Linked DNA regions of Alligator mississippiensis. The protein of the gene in region 2 purifies or fractionates together with the protein of the main gene of each other region. This does not show direct contact. Links are inferred from orthologs where the notes say so. Each region holds a gene or a part of one and is shown on either strand. Other genes may lie near its edges.

Region 1 (7,742 bases), on a different chromosome or scaffold from region 2:
GAAATTCAGGTATCAATTTGTTCAGCTCTATGGGCACAGATAAGACAATAGCACTATGCTGGCAGACATTAAGCAGCACTATCAGCTGCTACTTTGGTTTATGAGCTACTAAAAAGGTGCTTGAAACTGAGGTCTCTTTTCTATCCCTGGAGCCACAGACACCCTTATTCAGTTGGGCCTGTCCAATGTTGACTAGATTTGGAAGCATGTATGGGGAACACAGCAACAGACTAACAAATGTCATCAAATGGACTGTAATGTCTTTGCAGTCTCAGCTAGCACTATCTACCTTAACTGTACCATTTGCTACAAGCAAATATAGTAATAGTCTTGCAAGAGATGAACTGGTGTGATTGAAGAACTAACAGAAACCTCATTTAGCTTAAAAAATTGATTAAAAGTTCATACTGACCTTGAATTCAACTGAGTAAATCATCCTCTGAGAACATTTATATAGAATAAGCATAACCACCTCTGAAAAACAGCCTGAGGTGAAACACGGCTAAATTATTTTGGATGGTAGAACAGCATACTCAGACTGAAAGCCAAAGGTCTTGCGTGAAGTGGGCGTTTCCATTATCTATTCTACCTGCAAATTATCCCATTCTGAAGAAAGGGGAGCTGTGTTTACAGAACAATAGAGCTGGAAGGGACCTCAGGAGTTCAAGCCCCTGCTCAAGGCAGGATCATCCCTTTCTAAATCATCCAAGTATTTGGTCTATACTATTACATACAAATCAACCGGTCACAAAACTCCTACCAAGAACGCCCTAAATTGTCACAGGTAAAACAGGAGGATGTGGGCGCTGCCAATGCCCTACCAATGATGTAATGTAACACAGAGCTGTTCAAGTGGCAGTTCATGGGTCAAATACAGCCCACAAGAGATTTAACTTGCTGCCCACATGACTCTGGACCCTAAAGGGTGAATATGATCATCACTTGTATTTGGGGTCTTTGGTCACTGCTAGTGACTCAAATAGGTGGCAGGGGGGAGGGAGGCATTTGGCCCAAGTTCCAAAGCAACATCCACACAATGGCTCTCACAGAGGGCGGTCACATCCAGCCTTCAAAAAGCCACACAGGCCAGATTCCACCAAAGTTAGACATTGTTGATGCAATGCGTCCTACATGGGTTACAAGCAGTTAGAAGCCAGCTAGGATTTTTACACACACACGTACACTCTCAGAATATTGGTATTCAAAGTTAATAGTATGAAACCAGATCACTGCAACTCCTAAAATGGCTTTGGTTCAGGCATATCTCTTACTAAAGAAAAGTATAGCTTCTGTAATCCGGATTAATGTTTCCAGGACCAAATTCAGCATTAATTTAACTCCCTCCATCAATCATAAGTGTGCCTGTACATGTTTGTTTACACTGAATCTTTCAGCTTAGTTTTCATGTTTTTACCATGTGTTGACATGTTTTGGAAGCTAAGAAAACTGCAAGTCTAAAATTCCTGAAGTTCCATTTGTTCTTCAACTCCCTAATATGTCGCTGAATGAGCAAAGGGGAAACAAACTCTCCTGCTGACTTTCCATCTTACTGCACTGAAGTAATCTCCTTTGATATATTAAGACAGCTCCTTTCTTAAGAATCTCAGACCAGGGGAGTATCCACATACTATTATAAGTCATAAGCACCGCATTTCAAGATAAACGGGCTAGTGAAAACTCCTGATCAGACTGCTAATTTAACCCAAATCTCTTGTGCAGTAGACAAAATAAAAGATAAAACAAAACAAACCAGAAGCAAAAGTAATTTAATACAAACAGACCTTTACTTTTTTTCCCTCTTTAGAAAAATACTGAATACATATGGCTCCCTATAACTCGTAATTAAAACAGTTTTGATTATATTGGTTGATCATCTCTGCAACTATGCCCCAAGGCTGGGCTACCGTTAGACGGAGCTTTAAAGAATTCTACAGTCCATCAGTTACTTAACAGCTATGGGCCGCATCGGTTTGATATAAGAACTGCTAATAGGCAGTTCTTTAATTCACAACCATCAGTTTTACAGAGACTGCTTCCAATTCTCACAACAATAACTAAAACAAGAGGTTGGATGGGAGTGGACCTCGGGAGGTCACATCTAGTCCAATGCCCTGTTCAGAGCAGGACCATCCCGGCCACGGCTTTGTCCAGCCGGGTCTTAACGATCTCCAAGGACGGAGCTTCCACTTGTCAGATACCATCATCTGAAGATGCTAGTTGTGTATGTGTCTGTGCACACACACGTACACACACACACACATATATTGTATGGGTGATGGAAGGGGAAACCGTTCTGTTTACACTCCTCTGCAGAGATCAGACGGCTCAATGGCACAGAACCGAATATTTTCTAGTTTCCGACCGCTCGGGTTCGGGGGCTGGCCAGCGCCGGACGGAAACGGAGACCAAACTGATCCACCGAGAAGCCGTCGGCAGGGACCCGAGGCATTTTTTTAACGGGCACTCGCACATCTACCGAGTGCTTCGAAGTCACCGCGGGAGACTTGCTTTCGACCCGGTCTGTACAAACCTCAGTTTCCCCATGGTAGAGAGGTACCGGAGAGCCCGTTTCGGCGGAGAGCAAAGCCCCCTACCCGGGGTCCCACTCCCCAAACAGCAGCGAGGGCCACGGGGGCATCCGATGAACGCCCCTCTGTCCCGGCACGGGGCTCCCACGACCCTGGGTGTGGACGTGGGGCCGGGGTCCCCGCCGCCCAGCGCTACACGGGCTCGAGGCAACTCCAGCCTTGGCCAACGGGCTCCCAGGGGCCCGCGGACGTGTCCCCAGCGCGAGGGGCCCGGCCCGGCGCTCACCTGCGCTGCCGATTTCCATTCATGGAGCTGGGGCGGCCTCCCTCGCGCTGCAGGGGCCGGCTCCCGCCTCTCCCGACGGCGCCGGGTCCGGCCGGCCGGACGGGGCGCGAGGCTGGGCGACGGGGGGCGGCGGCCCGCCCTCAGCCGGGCCCGGCGGCGCGAGAGGCGAGCGGGAGCGTGACGGGCACCCCCCGAGGCGGACGCTGCGTGGCCGCCGCCAGCCCCCGGCGCGCGCTGCCCCCGTCGGCCGCGCCGCCCCGCGCGCACCAACCGCCGGAAGTTCCACCCCCGCCCACACGCCGGTCGCGGTCACTTCCGGCGAACAGCTTCCGGCGAACGCGCGGAAGGAGGCGGGGCCGGAACTGGGGCGAGGTTGCCCGGGCAACCGTTGCTAGGCGGAGCCAGAGGGAGGAAGTAGGGAAACAATTTAGAGATTTTATACACACACGCACTTATTTTCCTCTATAATCTCTATAGAGACACAATCCAATATAGATGTTGAGAGAGGTAATATATGTATGCATAGAGACAGCGTATAGTTCCTACATCTCTCTTTTCAACATTATATCTCAAGACGTATGTGAAGATAAATGCTGAGAATATCTCTCTTCTCAACATATACAGAAATTATATGTATAAAGAGAATATATGCACTCTCTCTCTCTCTCTCCATATCCATATAATCACACACGTGTAGAGAGGTGTGTGCACACGCAGAGAGATTTTCTATATGTAGAGAGATTATAAACAATATACATTTTCTCTATAATCTTGAGAGGATCCAATATTTATACACACACACACACACATTACACAGAGAAATCGTCTGTATGCATACAGACACCATGTCTATCATCTCCTCTCAACATACATATTTGAGATATGTAGAGATTATATATACACACAAATAGAGACTATAGAGAAAGAATATATACTTACATAGAGTATATAAATATTGAGATTGAATATAGGAACTATATGTATAGCGAATAGAATATATTCTCTATATAAATATCTGTTGAGATGATTATATGTAGAGATTACATATATTTTTTTTAGTTTATATTCTCTCTGAACATAATTCTCTATGTATACATATCTCTCTCCATTATATACATATACATACACACACACACGTGTGTATATATCGATTTTTTTAGATAAAGGATGTTATACATATGCACACAGATGTATATGTTGAGAGATGTGTATATATACCTACACACACACATGAGAGAGAGAGAGAGGGAGCAAATATATACATACTTCTCTACATATATGTTGAGAGGTGAATATAGAGTATAGTGTGTCTATGTATATTCTATGTAGAGAGAAATTACATGTAGAGATAGAGATATCTAGCTAGCTAGAGAGAGATTACATAGGAGATTATATATATATATATATATACATATACACACACACACATACATACATACACACACACACACACACAGTATATATAATTATTTCAACACACACATTATCTTTCAACATATGTGCATAGAGATGATATATCTCAAAGTAGAGAATACACACACACACACACAACACTAGCATCTTCAACATATGTATATGTTGAGAGAGATGACTAGAGAATATATAATACACACACATATATACTCTATATCTGTTGAGAGAATAAGAGAGAGAAATTAGAGATAATATGAGAGATAGGGAGAGGAGAATGAAAGAGGTAATGTATAGAGAAAATTATACATATATAGAGAAAGAAAGAGGGAGAGGGAGAGAAAGAAAGAGTTTATATACTCTCCCCACCCCAGGGAGAGCGAAAGATTAGAGCGCAAACGCACAAGCTTTTGCGAGCTGAAGTTCACTTCATCAGATGCTGTGAAAGGATGTGTAGAAAGCAAAATATAAGGGAAGAGAAATCAGAATGCAAAGAGCAAGGTAGGGGAGAAAGCGAGGGGAGAGGGGCAGTGCTGGGAGAGGCAAACAAGCAAGCAGTGAACTCACAGGAACAAAGGAGACACAAAAAATAAAATCTAGGCAAGTTAACTTAAACATCTTATACAATGAAAACAACTCCCAAAATAGGAAATTTAAATATAAAAGCAGCAGCAAAGGCTGTGTGTGTTTGGTGGGGAGAAATTATGACCTGGAAATGAGTCAAGTGGTTCACAAGAGGTGACAGAAACAAGCTGGAAGAGAACCTTGAGGCTAAATTAATTCATGCAACTTTATTGCATTTCCTGTACTCTGTCAGTCAGGGGAGCCAGTCACACAGCAAAAGAACTGTTAAACACCCACCTTTGCTTTTTGTTCTCCATTTACTCTTTGCATGTTGATGAAGACATCAGTCACTTGTACTTTTGATTGGTCTTTATGATTCTTTTTCAGATTCATGCCAGGTGCACTGGTTGAGATGCAGTAGCTCCGTGTTTTCAAATGGGTATTATATTTAATAGCTGCAGGCATGTTAGTAGCAAAAGATAAATTTGTCTTTAAAATTAGTACCTGTATTCCCTGTAAAAAGAAAAAGTGAGCTAAAACCCAAGAGGAAATAAACTAAAGCTCCCCAGAGCATACACAGGTTACTGAATGCATCTGTCTTACAGGAATGGATGAAGTGATGCCCACATAAAAGTTCACTCTGTAGTTCAGTTGATCAATGATGGAACCTGACAGGATGGGATGTACTATCAGAAAGGCATTTTATTATTCCCTTAGAAGGGTGATGTGCTTATCCACAATCCAGTACAGGTTTCCCTCGCTGACCGCTGGGGTTAGGTTCCTGAAAGTTCCTGTGGTTGGCAAGACAAAAGGCGTAGGTGGAAAATGGCAGGTGGTGGGCTGATGCACAGCCATGGAAAACCGTGGTTACTCAAAACTGCATACTGTGGTAGCCAAAATGGTATACAGAATATTAAGTGTGGATACTCAAAACCGTGGTTGGCGAGGAAAGCTGTATTACAGTTCAACTATTAAAAGCAGTCAGTATAAACTGCTTCAGAATTTTACAGAGCTGACCATGAAGAAAATAAAGGGCCCTTAGAGTAGTTTGCAGAATAAAACATTTTTTTTTTTTAAAGCAGCAAGGGGCAAAAAGGATCCAACTAAGGCTGTTAAGCAATGTAGGCTGCAGGGTGGAAATTAACAGTCATTTTTATGTTCCCTTCTCTGCACCGTATTACTATTGCCCTCCTGCCAGGATTAGCTATGCCAAATGTACAGTCCTATACCGCCATCCCTAGAAAATGCTGTTAGTGAGCCTGGAACCAGCTGCCCAATTTGCTCAGTTATTTAGTGCAGAGCAACAGGGAAAGTTTCTGAGAATTTCTTTCTATGCATGCACGCACACATACAAAAGCCAACTGCTGTTTTTGGACTTGAAGCTGGTACTCCACTGCCAAGCATGGTGATATCTGAGAGACAGACTGCATGTGATTCTTACTGCACTGAAAGTTAGTCAGGGAGATGCAGAGTAAACCCCAAATTGACAGGGAAATTAATAGCTTGATTGGTACTTACATTTATATAGAAGCTGGGGAATGAAAGAACTGATTGCTGTTGAAGATGTGTAGTAGAGATAAGGCCTTTCTGGTTTGGAAGGGGGAAAGATGGTTAAACCCTCACTCATGATATATTCCCACACACATCAATAAGGGAAAAAACAGTTAGACTAAAGCCTGCCTCTACACAGAAGCAAGAAAAACGTTTTCCGACAGGCAGCACAGTATCAGAGCAGGACATAATGTTCCTGCAGACTAAACCACAGCTGCCTGTGGTTTATGGTAGATGTCCAACCCAAGGCAGATTAGAGGGGGAGCTCATGCCTTCTAAAGAAGTGGGATTGTAAGTAAATGGCATTATACATCACAATCAAAGAGCAACAGTACTTTAGTCCTTTTACTGACCTCAAAGGCAAGGTTTTAATTTGCACCCAAGAGCCAGTGGATAACTGATTGAGTGCTTTTTTCTTAATCCTAGACAGACTTGTGAAAACGCACACATTGTCTGCGAGGAACGGAGCTGTTGCTGTTCTGCTGCTGTTCCAGGTCCCCAGGCTGTGTTCTTTTGTTACCCCAGTGCCAATCCAGCCCAAATCTGGACAAGTCATTCCACACTGAAGAGCTTGGAGTTCAAATTAAACGGCTTGTCTACACTAAAGATTTTCACCACTGAAAGCACTTCAAATACCTCTTGCTATACATGGGAAAGTACTTGCAGTGGAGCACTTCAACTGGTGTAAAGGCAGCTCAGAATTAGTGCATTTTGCACCAGATCTGTCTGCAGTGACACATGGAAAGCACTAACTTCTCAGTGGTACTCCTGTAGCTGGGCTGCACACATTTCTAATCTCTCTCTGGACGAGGGAAGGAAGGAGGAAAATATATAAATATTCTACTAGCGGATGAGTGAGTGGAAAACTCTTGGGAACAGAAACAGGGACACAATAAAGGGTAGTAATAGAATGGCACAGAGCTGTCTGGATAAATAAGTTGTTCAACTCCAAGACACACACTGCACAGTGTCTAGTTTACAGAGGTGAAGTCCCCTAGCATATGCCAGGCTACGATAATTAAGTGCCACTGCCAACACCCTGAACTTTTTGCTATGATAGGTAACCCATAGGGAATGGACAGTCAGAAAGTTTTACCCAGCTGTAAATAAAAGTAGGGGTGGGCCATTCAGTGACAACTGGGTATCTCAGTGAGGATTAATTATAGGGGAGATGGGGAATTTGATGTGTAATATTAGCAAAGGAGATTTCCATCATAGTGAGAGCTGGAAGGGCAGGCACAGTCAGGCTCAGACATCACTACTCCTAACTCCCAGACCCCCAAACCAGCATGCAGATGTCCTCTACCAGTCCGAGCTGAACAGACAATGATTTACTAACTCCTGGCTTATACCATAAGTCCACATTACCAAGGCTGGACCTCACACACACACACACTGCAGGA
Region 2 (7,129 bases):
CATTCATGGAAGGGGTGGGAGGTAGTGGGGGCTTTGCGCTATGCAAATTACCTGGGGAGGGGCAGTTGTAAATTTGTTTCCTATTGTTTTTCTCACCAGAAGGTACAGAGTCGAAACTGCATGTTAAGTCAGTGTGGCTAACCTGCAGGCACCAGACACAGCATCAGAGAGATTTAAAGTCATCTGTCTTGTACAGCTGAGACAAGCGGTGAGAATAAGATATCTCAAAAATAAAGAGAGAGAGAAAGAAAGAGGAGCTTGTAAAGCCCACAGCTCTGTGCCGCCATTTTCTTTCACTGAGAAGGGTGGATATGAAATCAATTTCACACATGCCGAAATGGCTGTTCAAAAGGGTTTTGCTCGTAGGAAGTTAACAGGACATGCTCAAAGGAGCCAGCGCTGGGGAGCATTTTGTTTTGCATACGGAGATTGCTTGCATGTGGCATGAGCCAAAATATTAAACCATTAAAAAAAAAAAAAATCAAAGCTCTGTGTATAACTTCAAAGTATATTCTCCACCCTCTCACTCAAATGTCATTAATCAAAGGAGAAGAAGGAATGACCAATTATAATGGATGGTTAGGGCTTGGAGAGGAAAAAACGTTTCAAATAATGTTTAAGTGAATGTGTTGCTTAGGTTGAATCACGGAGGCAAGTGTAAAATGTGATATAGGCAGGTCCTGCACCCGCTCCCATTTGCGCGCAGCCCTACTCATACATGCTCAGCCCTGCAAAGCTACACCAAAGCCGCCCAGCACCTGGATATTACTACTAAAGAGCTCTATTCCTATACCACCATGCCAGCAGTGGCCCCGCTGGTACTTTGCCAATCCCCAACAATAGTGAGTCTTTTGCATCCCCATCTAGTCCAGTTCTAAGCCCTTCTCTGCAACTTATTTTTTTCCTTGTGATCTTAAGGAAACTTTGAACTCGGGTGTACACAGCTGAAGGCTTGATGTAGTCACACCATAGCACTAGAAGGAGCTCTTGACATCCTACTGGCGTTGGCCACTCAGTTTGTTCCAGATGACATGGCCCAAGTATCTCACTTTGCCCCACTTCTGGTAGATGTTGCCACATTGTTCTCTCACCTTACGTTTTGGATTATGGAACTATGTGCAACTATACTTGCAAAATATATGTTACAGTGACCTGTTTTGCAAATACTCTTTAAGTCCTTCTTTAATTGTTGAGAATTATTTAATGTCAGAAGTCAAAGAACCATAAATATTGACAGCACATTTTGGACCTTGCTTTCCCCACTATTATCCTGATCAGACTGTTCTTACTTCAGCATTTTCTACTCCTACCAACTTCTCATTTTTTTAATAAAATTCATTTCTCCAACATTTTTTCTAAATATTTTGCTTTTCCTCTTGTTTCTCCAGCTCCCTGGAATGCTATCCTCCTTATGCATCCCATCCTCAAGTCTCTTCTATCAGGCTCATAGTCCCCTTTCATCCTCCCTATGTAGTCAAGTGCTGCAGTTGTACTGAATGCTACCAGTAGTTGACTTTGTTGCTTGTGATGTTTTCGCTTTCTCACCAAATATACTCTTTAGCACTCAGCTGTAGGGTGTTATAAATATAACATCATTTACTCTCAATTTCTTCAACACATTTTAAAATGTTGGGTTTGTTTTCTTAAACTCACCTTTAAAATAAAATCCCACCCTGGCTGTGTGATTGCCCTTGCTATTGTACCAATCTTCCTGTTAATTGGTAACTGTTAAATTCAGATTATATACCAAGCAGTTTACATCCAGAACAAAACAGGACTGCCAATCTGCTTTGCAAACAAATGCTTTCCTTCAAGAACAAAGATTTTTAAAAACCTCTCTGCTAACTTTTAAATGCTCATTGAAAACGCTCTTATTTTCAAGGTTTTCCACTTTGAATAACCACAGCTTTCTTTTTTTTAATCTCAAAAGAGAGCAATCGGAAAGAGAAGAAAGGACTGGTAAAGAAAATGATTAGAGGAATGGGTACACGACAAAAGGAGAGAAACTTCATCCCTTCCCATTCTAAGTGCAAGGCACACTTCTTCAAGCTGCTTTCTCTAGTGCAGACAGAGCAGTGTCTGCATTTTACAAAAAAACCCCAAACCAATAGCCTACCAAAACAAACTACCGTACTATGCACATAATGCTTCCCCTTGGGGGGACAAGGCGGGGCGAGAAGAGACAGAGATGAACCACATGCGACATGCTAGCCACATCACTTAATATGCTACTAGAATGTGTTCAAATATTACAGTGATGATGAGCATGATATGAAATCCTGGGTTTTATTCCTCTATCACATATTTTATGTATGGCTTTAGACAAATCACTTTTCTATCTTCCCTCAGGATCCTGGACAGTGGAATATGGTAACCCAGTGCCTACCTCATAGCTGTGTTATGAGACATGAGACACGGAAGTTTACTGTGTGCAATGCATTATTTTATTAAACAGGCACTGCTTTCTGATTGACAGTGCTTGAAGGGAATATGCTCGCAGCATGCAACACCTAAAGATGCAAAGGACCCATTTAGAGGGGTACAGGTTGGTGTAATGAAGACTGAAGGGATATGCTTAAATAAGGGAAAATGAAGACAAGACATCAACCCCCTCCCCCCAACATTTACAGACTTACTGCTTATGTTTAACTGAACAAACACTAGACAGCGTGCTCTGCTAATATTTGAGGAAGAAAAAAATTGCATTAGTCTGAGGGTAGATTTAAGTCTTTTCTATCCATGTTTTGTGAATCTGCAAAACCCTTCCTACAATATTAATAACCCATCTATTTCCATTACCAAAGCAGCAGCCACTCTCCATTTTTCACCAGGATGAGCAGGTAATTTTGGCAAAATGAGGGAGGGGAAAAAAATCCAGCTCTTCCATGGCAAACAAATGTATACAACATCCCCGACAGCTGGTCCTTGCCCTTTGTGGTCCACAGTCCCCCTCAAGGCTCACAGAAAACTTAGTGAAAGGTAACCCTCAGGTATAAGCTCACCCTCTCTTCAAAGCCTGGGATCTCTTCTTTTCTTCTGTTTGTTCCTTAACTCTCTCCTGAGACTTGATTACTTGTGTCTCCTCAGCCTTGCACCATCTGTCCTTGGATACCCTTTGTTATCAAATCTATTCCCACAGCTCCAGCTACTTCAGGGATCTGCAACAAACTCCCAAGAATTTCCCCTCCCAGGGCTCCAAACCCTTCAATTCACCTGCTTCTTAAGCCTCCTCCTAAGTAATACAGGAGAGCTATTATTACTGTATGCGAGGTCTGGAGGGTGGCAGCAGAAAACAAAGGATAGACTCTATTTTGTAGCTCAGGGAGCTTATCTTCAGGGAACGGCATTGTGGAATCAATGCCAGACTGAACTTGCAATCAGGTACGTAAGAAAAAGGTCAGTTTACATCGATCAGTCCTGCCCTGGGCTAGTTCCTTTAGTTTGCTTAGGCTAAGCAGCCAGCTTCATATATCATGAACCAGACCCCCAAGTTCAAGGGACTAGGTCAAAAGCCAAGGGGCAGTCTCACACTCCCTCTCGTGTATTTGAGTGAGGGACATTGCTTTAGGCATTTCAGTCTGCCATTTTGGAGTTTAGCTCTCCCTGCCAGCACAGGAGAGTTTCAGCAGTGCTAGACAGAGTAAGGTGACTTTGGGCAATACTATGTTTTAGGGGCTCTCCCTGGAAGACCCAGGTAAAAATAATAGTAATAATAAAATTAAATTAAATTAAATAAAAATCAAACTATGCTGATTATCCAGAATGCCTTCTGGGGGCAGGGGGATTTCAGCTTTGATGCCAAATCAAACCTCCAAATTTTAGTTTGTTCTGGCTTCCCCTCAGCCCAGCAATTCATCCATTATGGCCTTTGGTGCAGCCACCTCAGACTGGGCTTTTGGCACCTGTGGGACAAATTGGCTGCTCCTACCCAACAGGCAGGAAAATTAGGAATACCATTAAGCGGAGGATGTTGCCTCCAGACAAGGCTGAAAATGTTGCGATGCCTAAGGCTTCTCGTGTCGATCCAAGCTTGGCTTCATCCAACTCCACAGTTCCCTTTCAAATGGCCAGAGCTGGTGGCTCCAGCAACGTAAATGTTGAAATAAAAGTGAATGAGCTATGAGATGCATCCTAGAGAGCAGAGCAGAGGCTATTATATCCTGGGCTCACAACCCCAGCCCGATCCTTCAGCTGAGAAAGCTAGGGAGACATGACTTTCCCGTCTGGACTCTTCCCTGGTCTCTAACTCTACTCAGAGAAAAGGGAGCTTGTTCACAAGCCCCTATCCAAACATACTTCCCACCCAGTTCAGTTTCCAGCATCCCTCTGGGGACTACGCATTTAAAAGCTCCATTTTTGTAGGGCTGCATTTGGGAGTCAGCTATGCTAGGTTTGTAACTGCTTTTAAAATGACGGTTGCACTTTGTTACAGTCCCCATGCTGGTTTACATGCTCAGTGCCAGTTTTGATGTGAGTGGGAGAGTAGGGACTCAAATTCAAGAGCTGCTGCGAGCTCTCAGTTGTCACCGACTTCAGATGGAATATATGGTTTTGAGACTCAAAACTACAAACGTATTCTGAAGTGCCTTCCCCCCCCCCCCGTATAGGCATGCTGGTCAGCTCATTGACTAATGAGAAACACCACTTCTATATTGGTTGTAAAATAAGAAAACGCCCGCTAGCTAGAAATGCTGGAACTTTCAAGAGAAGCAAAGACCTTTAGGTAATGGGAAAGAAGACTGCGTTGAGAAAACGAATAAAGGTTTGGTTCTAGGAGAGACGAACAAAAAAGACAGGGCAGGGAGGAGGGAACTCAACCAATAAGTTCAGGCCTTAGTCACAGCCCTGGAGTTAGAAATGGTCAAGTGTTCCCATCAAAGCATTTTTGCCAAATCAGACAGTATTTAATTTTGGCAAGACAATCTTAGTCTGAAACGTTTTTATTGGCTGGTTTCTAGTTTTTCAACAAGAAAAAAAAACCAACAACTTTAGAAACGAAAGAGTTTTAGAAGAAGCTTAAGAATTCTGTTTCCATTTCTCGTTTAAATACTAGATCCCTCCCCACACTCCCAAGCAAGCAGGCAAGAATTTTTTCCTTCAGAGCTTCCCACAAGGAAACATAACCGGGATTTTTAACCCATGCTAACTAGAACCAAGACATGTTTATGGCATTATTTTAGTTAACAAGGTATAGTTTGGCCCCATCTATACTGTAGCTTAACTATGTAATGGGTCTTTCGCAGTGGAAATGTAGAAAGATTCAAAGCTGGTTTATAACACTCTTATTCTCTTTAGTCTCTATTTTCTTCTTTTATTTTTGCATCAGATTTACCAGTATATTTTTTACATGATCTGTAAAGGGGGAAAATGAAGTAAAATTAGATGAAGTGGGGGGGAACCCCCCCCCCCCTTATTTTCAATCTCCTTTCCTATACCAAAGCCACCACAAAATTACCCAGCAATACCAGCTTTATTGGAAACCAACTCAACTTACTTTTACAAGAAAGAAAGAAAGAAAGAGAGACATATTCACCCCAATACAACAGGCTCTTCAAAGCAATTCCTTACCTCTTTTTTTCTTCTTTCTTTTATACAGGATGACAATTACTCAACCCAGCAGATTTCCCTTCCTGCTAGGCTGCTTCAAATAGCTTCACCTGGGACAATTGACCTCCAGTCTTCACAGCTAGGATAATATTACAGGGAAAGGGGGTTTCCTTCTTTGACTCTTAATCCTTGCACCTCTATGGATTATGCAGGGTTTATACAACTAGTGCCAACCTCATACTGAATTTGTAACTACTGTAGCCATGTATAGAGATCTCCTCTTTTCCTTCTCAATTCATCTCCTTTATGTCCTTGTTAAAGTCTTTCAGATTGACACACAGTTCCTGAAGCCTGACCTTCAAGGCCTCTTTTTTTTGCAGGTGCTGCCACTTGATTGAGGTTTAGACCCATTAAATTATTCTGGTTAATGATTTGAGGCATGATATCTGCTTTCTGACCCCATCCATTCCAAAACATTAACAGCTGTCCTGCCAACCCATCTTTACAGCTAACACCTACCATACAGCCCAACTACCACTTGAGTTTCTGTACTGATTACAGTCATAACAGATGCTCAATTTAATGATGTTAAATTGAGATCCCATCTACCAAAATCCAGCTGAAGTTAGATCCCATGAAACTTTCCAAAGAGGATCAAGAATAACATATTTTCTTGAGCGCCCTGTCCAACTTTTATTCCCTCCAGAAATCAAGTGCTGATGCTCAAGGTACTATTTTGGAATACACCTGTGTGTCTACACATTCATTAATGCACTGTAATTATGGCACATTAATTTTAGTGTCTAGAATAACAGGTACTAAATGCACTGTAACTGGCATTTTGTGTGACACTTAATGCCCATTGGACTAATCTACTGCGCATTAGCACAGTTTTTGCCAGCTGCACTAATGCACAGTAGAATTAGTCCAATGGGCTTTTAGCATCTCACGTAGATGAGCCCATTAACTGTTGTAGCTGCCTCTATGCTCTTTATGTACCTGGTGGGTGGCTTTGTAAGGGCTTTAAAATACAGTAGGCCTGTGCAAGTCGGCAGCGATCTGATCCGGCTTTGGACCCAGCCGCTTCGGGTGGCCACGATCTGATCCGGAGCTCTGGACCGCGTTTCCACCTTGATTGGGCCAAGAGCCACCTTGGAGATCTGGCCATAGGGTATAATGGGGAATCAATGAAATATCTATAACTTTGTTGTTTGTTGTCCAATTTGGATGAAACATTCAGGGATTGTAGCCTCTGCTGAGAGCATAAAATCTGCCAAACTTCAAGATCAGTGAAGCAGTTTGGGGGGAACTGTACCCCAAATTCTTGAAAGCCAAACTCCTGTCACGGCTGTGTGTTACAACACAGAGGGGTCAAAACTGCAGGTATAGTAGCTCTTATGGAGGCCACAAAGCCTGCCAAGTTTCAAGGAGATTGGTGCAGGGGTTTGGGGGGAACTACACCTCAAGTTGCGGACAAGCAAAACTCGTGACATGGGTGACACTGGGTGTGTTAAGGCGCAGCGAGGTGACAGCTGCAGGGATGGTGGCCCCTGCTGTGGCCACGATACCTGCCAGCTATTGA

What was found. The genes of interacting proteins can lie anywhere in the genome.
Region 1: the proteins of TNRC6C (region 2) and protein argonaute-3 purify together in Homo sapiens (affinity purification with mass spectrometry; 3 studies listed by BioGRID and IntAct, with this or other methods). This does not show direct contact. The link is inferred for Alligator mississippiensis from reciprocal best matches to the Homo sapiens genes TNRC6C and AGO3.

The regions. Positions count from the first base shown.
Region 1 is NC_081829.1:9,020,431-9,028,172, reverse strand, and holds the start of protein argonaute-3, read right to left. Parts: upstream 3,044-7,742; 5' UTR 2,834-3,043; coding exon 2,815-2,833; intron 1-2,814.
Region 2 is NC_081831.1:15,731,028-15,738,156, forward strand, and holds the start of TNRC6C (trinucleotide repeat-containing gene 6C protein), read right to left. Parts: upstream 3,080-7,129; 5' UTR 3,003-3,079; intron 52-3,002; exon of another isoform or gene 1-51. UniProt on the Homo sapiens protein: Plays a role in RNA-mediated gene silencing by micro-RNAs (miRNAs). Required for miRNA-dependent translational repression of complementary mRNAs by argonaute family proteins.